2 linked regions of the Callithrix jacchus genome follow. The protein of the gene in region 2 purifies or fractionates together with the protein of the main gene of each other region. This does not show direct contact. Links are inferred from orthologs where the notes say so. Each region holds a gene or a part of one and is shown on either strand. Other genes may lie near its edges.

Region 1 (3,804 bases), on a different chromosome or scaffold from region 2:
TGGTAAGAGTAGCCCTGTTCCTGCAGATGCACAGGTTAAAACTCTAGAGGCTGGCAGGTGCCTGTAATCCCAGCTACTTGGAAGGTGGAGGCATGAGAATCACTTGAACCGGGGAGGCAGAGGTTGCACTGAGCTCAGATCGAGTAACTGCATTCCAGCCTGGGTGACAGAGCAAGATTCTGTCTCAAAAAAAAACCCTCAAAACCCTAGAGACACCCATATTACCCCCAAATCCACATGGGGACCTTCAGCACATCCTACTGCCCCCACTTTTTATTTTTTTGAGACGGAGCTTTGCTCTTGTTGTCCAGGCTGGAGTGCAATGGCGCAATCTCAGCTCACTGCAACCTCTGCCTCCCAGGTTCAAGCAATTCTCCTGCCTCAGCCTCCTGAGTACCTGGGATTATAGACATGCACCACCATGCCCAGCTAATTTTGTATTTTTAGTAGAGACGTGGTTTCTCCATGTTGGTCAGGCTGGTCGCGACCTCCCAGGCTCAGGTGATCTGCTCGCTTTGGCCTCCCAAAGTACTGGGATGACAGGCATAAGCCACTGTGCCCAGTGTCCACTTTTTTTTTTAATGTGGTTTTACTCTGTCACCCAGGCTGGAATGCAGTGGCACACCATAGCTGACAAGCTCCTGAGCTCAAGTGGTCCTCTGTCTCAGGCTCCCAAATAGCTGAGACTACAGTACTCAGTCACCAAGCCTGGCCTGATGTCCACTTTTAAAGTCTGGCAGGATCAGCCCACCTCTCTACCCTCCCTGCCCCCGCCGTCTCCTAACTAGGATGCTGCAATTGGAGGGGTTTGAGTCCCTGTGGACAGGAGTTGGCCTTGCCCAGAGCACTGTAGGCTGGTCCCCTGAGGAGGGGGCCTCTGGCCACCTGGCAGCTCACAGCCCCTACCTTAATCTTAGTGAAGAACTGCCGGAAGCAGGCCCGGGGGTCCACCTTCAGGCTCTTGGCCAGCTCCAGTATAAACTGCATGACGATTGTCTGGTGGGCCACCTGCTCCATGAGTGCACATTTCTACCAGGGACAACAGGCAGTGTCACCAAGTGACGGCGTGTGGCAGCGCCTTTTCACAGCCCTGGGAAAGCTCCACTCACCTCCTCCACCTCTAGGTCAATGCACCAGATGACCAGGTAATTGGCCGTCTCCTCGCACACCAGGTGGACATTGTCCGACAGGTACTTTTGACTGTCATCCCAGCGGCGGAGCATGCCTGTGGGAAGATGCTGGCAAGGTGCTGGAGGGCCCTGGAGACAAAGGGCCTGCCCTGACCTGGCTCCCCCATAACCCACACGCCCCACTCACCAAAGTGCTTGATCTGTTTCTCATACTTTTCCACGAAGGTCTTGTGTTTCTGCTCCCTCACCTCCTCTGAGTCCTCCTCTGCTTTCTCAGGCTTGGTATTGACCATGCTCTGTGGTAGGGTGAGAAGGGGAGTGGGCTGGGGCAAGGCTGCGGAGCGCCTCGAGCGCGGCCGGACGGGCCGTGGCCGCAGCGCCCATCCCATCCACGGCGGAGGTGGTGACGAAGCCATGAGCATCAAGGTGGCGGGAGCGTGGGCATGGGCCTTGGGGCAGATCAGAGGAGGGGACCGGTGGGGTGTTTCATCCGCCCGGCTCCCCAAGCCTGTCCCCCCTCCCTACATGGCCCCCGTCCATCCCCCAACCCCCACACCACACTCTTCAATTTCACCACCGGGGTCCTCCCCTGACTTGGCATTGGGTGCGCATGCGTCCTGGCTGCACACTCACTGGCTGCGCATGCGCACTGCCCGCCCGCCCTGCACACCTTGCTGAAGCCATCTTTGCTGAGCGTGTCCACGTTCCAGGGCATGCTCTTCTCCTTCTTGCGCATCTCCTCCAGTTTCTGCTCCCAACTTCGCTCCTCCTTGCGCAGCTGCTGCGCTTCAGCCTGCAGCCGCTCCAGCTCTGCCTTGCCGCCCTCGGCCACCTCCAGCTCCTTCAACTTCCTCTGACACTCGGCCACCTTGCGCTTGCACTCGCGGCAGCCCCTGTCCAGTTCCTCCTTCTCCTTCTGGAACTGCTCCATGCGCTCCACCCGGGCCTGCCGGCAGGAACGGCCTGTCACTCTGGTGGGCGGCCTGTCCCTTACCCCCGGCCCCATACTCAACCCCTGCTCCTGAGATAGCCCCGGGAAAAAATCTGCGTCCACCTCCAGTGCCCTGGGCTCCCAACTTCCTTGCCCCAACAGGTGCCAGTGCACACCCAAGAGGGTCAGGTTCCTCCATCCTCTGCTGAGAACCCTGGCGGCTCCCATTTCACTCAGAACAGAGCCCAAGTCGTCACTACAGCCTATGTGGGCCTGCACAATCTGCCCTGTCACTCCTCCTTCCATCCACACTGGTCCCTCACTTTTCTCATCTTTTCTTGAGCCCTTTTATTAAAGATAGGGTCTCGCTCTGTTGTCCAGGTTGGAGTGCAGTGGCCGGAAGATGACTCACTGCAGCCTTGACCTCCCTGGGCTCAGGCGATCCTCCCACCTCAGCCTCCTGAGTAGCTGGGACTACAGGCATGCACCACCATGCACAGCTAATTTTCATATTTTCAGTAAAGACGGGGTTTCACCATGTTGCCCGGCCTGGTCTTGAAGTCCTGGATTCAAGCAATCCTTCTAACTTGGCCTCCCAAAGTGCTGGGACTACAGGCAGGAGCCACTGCATTCTGCGGAGCCGACTTCTTTCTCTAACCTTAAGGCCTTCCCACTGGCTGTTCCTACTACCTGGAGTGCTTTTCCCTCAGATCCCGCCACAGCTGACTCCACGGCACCCGAGCCATCTGAGCTCCATGTTGCCTTAGCGAGGACCCCTTCCCCAACCACCTTCCTGATGATGGCAACCTCCCCCCACCCCTGCCTGGCATTCCCTGCCTCCTCAGCACCAGCCACCACTGACATCATATGATAATTGTTTATCATGTTCTGCATACTGCCTCCCTCCAAGCCCTGCTCTGTACATGTGGGAATGTGTTCACCACTTTGTCCCCAGAGCCAGGAACTTGGCCTGGTGCAAAGCAGGGACTCAACAGATGCTTGTTTTTTTTGTTTCTGTTTGTTCGGTTTTGTCTGAACAACGTCTCCTCGTCATGCAGACTAGAGTGCAGGATGCGACCATGGCTCACTGCAGCCTCGAGCTCCTAGGCTCAAGCAATCCTCCTACCTCAACCTCCCAAGCAGGTGGGACTACAGGTGCACACCATCCTGCCTGGCTAATTTTTTTTTTTTTTGTAGAGATGGCGTTTTGCCATGTGGCCCAGGCTGGTCTCAAACTCCTGTGCTCAAGCCATCCACCTGCCTCAGCCTCCCAAAGTGCTGAAATTATAGGCGTGAGCCACTGTGCCTGGCCAGGAAATGCTTGTTGAGTGAATAAGTAATGAGATGCCCAGTGGAGGCCTAAACACTGTCTCCAGCTGCCAGCCTTCCCCTCTGACCTGGAGCCACCCTCGCCCACACTTGGTCCCCTTCCCTACTCCTCCCCCCACCCCCAACCCCCATCAAGCTGCTTCTGCCTGGTGTCCCTGCAGGCATCTCTAACTCCATGCCCAAAACCGAACTCACCATCTTTCCTCCCCAGAACCAGGTCCTCTGTGGTATTCTCCCTCAACAAAGGCCCTGCCTCTCTTCCCTTTCTTCTTCTTTTTTTTTTTTTTGAGACGGAGTTTCACTCTTGTTGCCCAGGCTCAAGTGCAATGGTGCCATCTCAGCTCACTGTAACCTCCACCTCCAGGTTCAAGCGATTCTCCTGCCTCAGCCTCCCAAGTAGCTGAGATTACAGGC
Region 2 (4,387 bases):
TGCCCACAAGTGATTCCCCCACCTCACCCTCCCAAAGTGCTGGGATTACAGGCATGTGCCACCACACCCAGCCTATTATTATTATTATTTTATTTTGAGATGGAGTATTGCTCTTTCACCAAGCTGGGGTGCAGTAGCATAATTGCAGCTCACTGCAAGCTCCGCCTCCCGGATTCAAGTGATTCCCCTGCCTCGTCCTCCTGAGGAGCTGGGACTACAGTGTGCACCACCACGCCCAGCTAATTTTTTTTTTATGTTAGTAGAGATGGGGTTTCACCATAGCCAGGACGGTCTTGATTTCCTGACTTCATGATCCGCCCACCTCAGCCTCCCAAAGTGCTGGGATTACCAGTGTGAGCCACACCCGGCCCCTATTATTATTTTTTGAGATGGTCTTGCTCTGTTTTTTTTTTTTAATTTATATATGGAACGCTTCACTAATTTTCGTGTCATCCTTGCGCAGGGGCCATGCTAATCTTCTCTGTATCGTTCCAATTTTAGTATATGTGCTGCTGAAGCGAGCACGATCCTGCTCTTCCATGCCGGAGTGCAGTGGCATGCTTGTGGCTCATGCAGTCTCAACCTCCCAGGCTCAAGCAATCCTCCCACCTCAGCCTCCTGAGTAGCTGGGACTACAGGTGTGCAACGCCATGCTGAGCTAATTTTTGTAGTTTTGAAGTTATGGGGTTTTCTCATGTTGCCCAGGCTGGTCTTGAGCTCCCGGGTTTAACTGATCCACCCACCTTGACCTCCCAAAGGCCTAGGATTACAGGTGTGGGCTATCTTGTGTGGCCATTTTTAATGTTTTAGAAAAGAGAAAATCTAAAGCAGAAGCGTGAACAGGGCCCAGCTGCTGTGTAGCCCCCATCTCCATACATACACACATATACGTTCCTTGATGCTCTCACCTTGGGATGCAGTTCCAGTATTAGCAGGGGCCCAGAGCCCCCGCGGCTGGCGGTGATAAATCGGACAACGTGGTCGTGCTGTAGGCCTGGCAGTTCGTACAGTGCTCTCTCAGCTCGGAACTGAGCCACAGACCTCGGTGGGAAGGCCTTGATGGCAACCAGTTTGCCTTGCAGCTGCCCAGCCCAAACCACTGCATGACCTCCTTCCCGGATTACCTGGTAGGGACACTGTGCTGAGTGTTGGCCTCTCAGCTATACCAGGGCAAGGCTTCCTCCCCAGCACAACCTCCAGGAGTGCCCAGAGGAGCCCTTCTTTCCCTCCCTGGGGCACCTGGGAGAAGCACAGCTCGGGCAGCTCCTGCAGCTCCGCACTCCAGTCCCTGGCTGAGTCTGGCCCTGGCTCTGGCTCTGGCTCACCTTGAACTCCGTAAGTCTTTCGCTGTAGCAGGGCTGGAACAGAGAAGAGCCTTAGGGTTAGGGTGCGCATGCATGGGGACAGGAAAGGGGACTTTGTGGAAAGGCAGCTTTGTGAGAGGTAATGGGAGTCTGGGAATCAGGCTACAGAGATCCCAAGACCATGGGGTCAGGGGTGCCTGGAGAGGGGTCAGAGCTTTGGGGCAATCTGGGGTCACAAGGGAGGGATGGGGTGGATTAGTACCCAAGATGATGATGCCCACCAGCAGCAGGAGGAGGAGGAACAGCCCCAGCAGCACCAGTGCCATCCAGATGGACTCACCTGGACATCAAGGCAAGAATGCAGGCTGGTGAACCCTGACCCAAACCTGCTCTCTGCTCTTCCCCTCCTGAGAGTTTGCTTCTCAACCCACCCCCACCCTGGTCACAAGACCCCTTATCTCCCAGTCACCAGGGTAACCAACTTCCCAAGGCCAGGAGGAGGAAAGTATGGGGTGGGAGTAGGGTGAGAACTAGCACTGGTTCCACCTCTCATCCTAACCTGGGCCCCAGCCCCTACCAGGTTCCAGTACCCTTGGGTGGCTACCTGGGGTGACCTGGGGACCCTGGGAGTCAGGAGTCCCAGGGCTCCCTGGAGGAGGCAGATGACTGTAATTGGCATTGCAGAAGTCAGTGCCACAGGAGCAGGTGAAGAGAGTGGAGCCAGGGCTGGGGTGGGCTCGGGGACTTGGGTCACAGTGGAGGGACTCACAGCCTGGCTCATCACTGTCTCGGCATCCTGATGGGGTGGGATTAGGGGAAGAGGAGAGAAAGAAGGAGCAAGGAAGAAAGCACAAAGTGGTGTGGAAACAGAGGATAAATCCCTTCTCTTTCAGAGGCATCCCTTCCATCTCTCATGGGCTTTTCTTTCCCACCATGAAATATTCTATTTCTCCCCTTCCCCCTTGGCTGCCACCCACACCCCAGGATGTGTCTGTCTCCCACCCTAGCTATTGCCTGCCATATACTTTGCCATTCACCTTGCATTTCCACCTGTGCCCGGTCTTGGGTCAGGTTCCAGATCCCAAAGCAGCAGCGGCTGTGGAGGCAGCGGATAGCTCTGGGGAGCTCTGGGTCTGCATCTAGCAACTCTCCCAATGTCTTTGTGCTTCCCCGCACTCCGGGGGACTCAAAGAACACACAGGTTCGCCTGTTTGGGGGTGCTGAGGCCCAGGATGGGGAAAGGAAAGGATTCAAGATGGGAGTGAATGCAGAGGCCGAAAAGTGGCCAAAAGAACAGACAAAACATGTTTCACATCCCAGCGTCAGTATGGTAAAGCCACAGGAGGAACCAGGGTCAGCAGAGGCCTGGAACCTGAGCCCTGCCATGGGGACACATGGCTCTATCCTTCATCTTCACTCACCCAGCCCACTCACCACTCTTCCAAAGGGGTGGCTGTTGCTTCAAGCACCCCTTTCCCTCGCTGGATGGATGGAAAGACCCTGCCCCTCCCTGTCGACGCTTACCTTCCACAGCTGAGGGAAGTAATGCCCAAAGCCCCAGAGACCCAAGCATCTTGCTGGAGGATGGCAGCAGCAGGAGAAGGAGAGCATGAGCCAGCACAGCTGCCCCTGGCCAAAGCTTTCTTCAGATACAGGGCATCGTGGGACTTCTGATCCCTCAGTCCCCAACTCCGCCCCCCTCATCCTTTCCCAGCCTCTGTGGGGGAGAAGGCTGCTGTGGGGGAGAGGGTGGGTGTGGGGAAAGCAGGGAAAGAAAGGGAGGAGCAGAGAACCAATCTTATATCCTCTTCTCTTCTGCAGCCTCCTCTTTGCTCTGCAAAGTGGGAGGAGGGGACCTTGGAGGCCCAGCTGAGAACCCAGTGATGCCTAATTTCAAATCTCTGCCCTTTGCTGACCTTGGAAGAAGATGCAGACTCTGTTGACTCTTTTCAGTAGGAAGCCAAAGTGAGGTCAAATGCTTAGAGTCATTCAGCTCTGCCCAAGATCCTTTCTAGCCTAAGATCCCTTTATATTCAGGGTTCACATCTGTAGCTGCTTGGGCAGAGGAATGCCTCACAGCCCATACTAGAGGTTACCTTGTTTTCCAAACTTAAGAATCAGAAAGTATACCAGAATTTTTTTTTTTTTTTAAGACAGATTCTCGCTGTATCACCCAGGCTGGAGTGCAGTGGCACAATCTCAGCTCACTGCAACCTCTGCCTCCTGGGCTCAAGCGATTCTCCTGCATCAGCCTCCTAAGTAGCTGGGACTACAGGCACCCATCGCCATGTCTAGCCAGACGTAGTGATGGGTGCCCGTAGTCCCAGCTACTTGGGAGGCTGATGCAGGAGAATTTTTGTATTTTTTAGTAGAGACGAAGTTTCACTATGTCAGCCAGGCTGGTCTTGAACTCCTGACCTTGTGATCTGATGCCTCGGCCTCCCAAAGTGCTGGCATTACAGGCATGAGCCATCACGCCCAGGCCAATTTATCAGAATTTCTTAAAAACACATTGAGTCTGGGTGCGGTGGCTCAAGCCTGTAATCCCAGCACTTTGGGAGGCCGAGGCGGGTGGATCATGAGGTCAACAGATCGAGACCATCCTGGTCAACATGGTAAAACCCCGTCTCTACTAAAAAAATACAAAAAATTAGCTGGGCATGGTGGCATGTGCCTGTAATCCCAGCTACTCATGAGGCTGAGGCAGGAGAATTGCCTGAACCCAGGAGGCGGAGTTTTCGGTGAGCCGAAATCGTGCCATTGCACTCTAGCCTGGGTAACAAGAGTGAAACTCTGTCTCAAAAAAAAAATTGAGCTGAGCTAAGTTGCCCAAGGTCATTCAGCTAGGAAAGAGCTGGGATTTGAACCTAGGCAAGTCTGACTCCAAAGTCCAGGCTCTCTTCTTTGCATTCCACCATACTGCCTGAAACACATACAAAATTCAACAATGAAAAAAAAAATTACTGGGCCGGGTGCAGTGGCTCACGCCTGTAATCCCAGCAGTTTGGGAGGCTGAGGCCGGTGGGTCGTCTGAGGTCAGGAGTTCAAAACCAGCCTGGCCAACATGGTGAAACCCCGTCTCT

Evidence for each region.
Region 1: the proteins of AMHR2 (region 2) and CDC37 purify together in Homo sapiens (co-immunoprecipitation; 3 studies listed by BioGRID and IntAct, with this or other methods). This does not show direct contact. The link is inferred for Callithrix jacchus from reciprocal best matches to the Homo sapiens genes AMHR2 and CDC37.

What each region holds. Positions count from the first base shown.
Region 1 is NC_133523.1:9,585,348-9,589,151, forward strand, and holds part of CDC37 (hsp90 co-chaperone Cdc37), read right to left. Parts: intron 2,077-3,804; coding exon 1,801-2,076; intron 1,427-1,800; coding exon 1,318-1,426; intron 1,226-1,317; coding exon 1,110-1,225; intron 1,030-1,109; coding exon 907-1,029; intron 1-906. UniProt on the Homo sapiens protein: Co-chaperone that binds to numerous kinases and promotes their interaction with the Hsp90 complex, resulting in stabilization and promotion of their activity. Inhibits HSP90AA1 ATPase activity.
Region 2 is NC_133510.1:66,126,145-66,130,531, forward strand, and holds the start of AMHR2 (anti-Muellerian hormone type-2 receptor), read right to left. Parts: upstream 2,878-4,387; coding exon 2,829-2,877; intron 2,525-2,828; coding exon 2,342-2,524; intron 2,101-2,341; coding exon 1,909-2,100; intron 1,645-1,908; coding exon 1,567-1,644; intron 1,359-1,566; coding exon 1,240-1,358; intron 1,125-1,239; coding exon 909-1,124; intron 526-908; exon of another isoform or gene 419-525; intron 1-418. UniProt on the Homo sapiens protein: On ligand binding, forms a receptor complex consisting of two type II and two type I transmembrane serine/threonine kinases.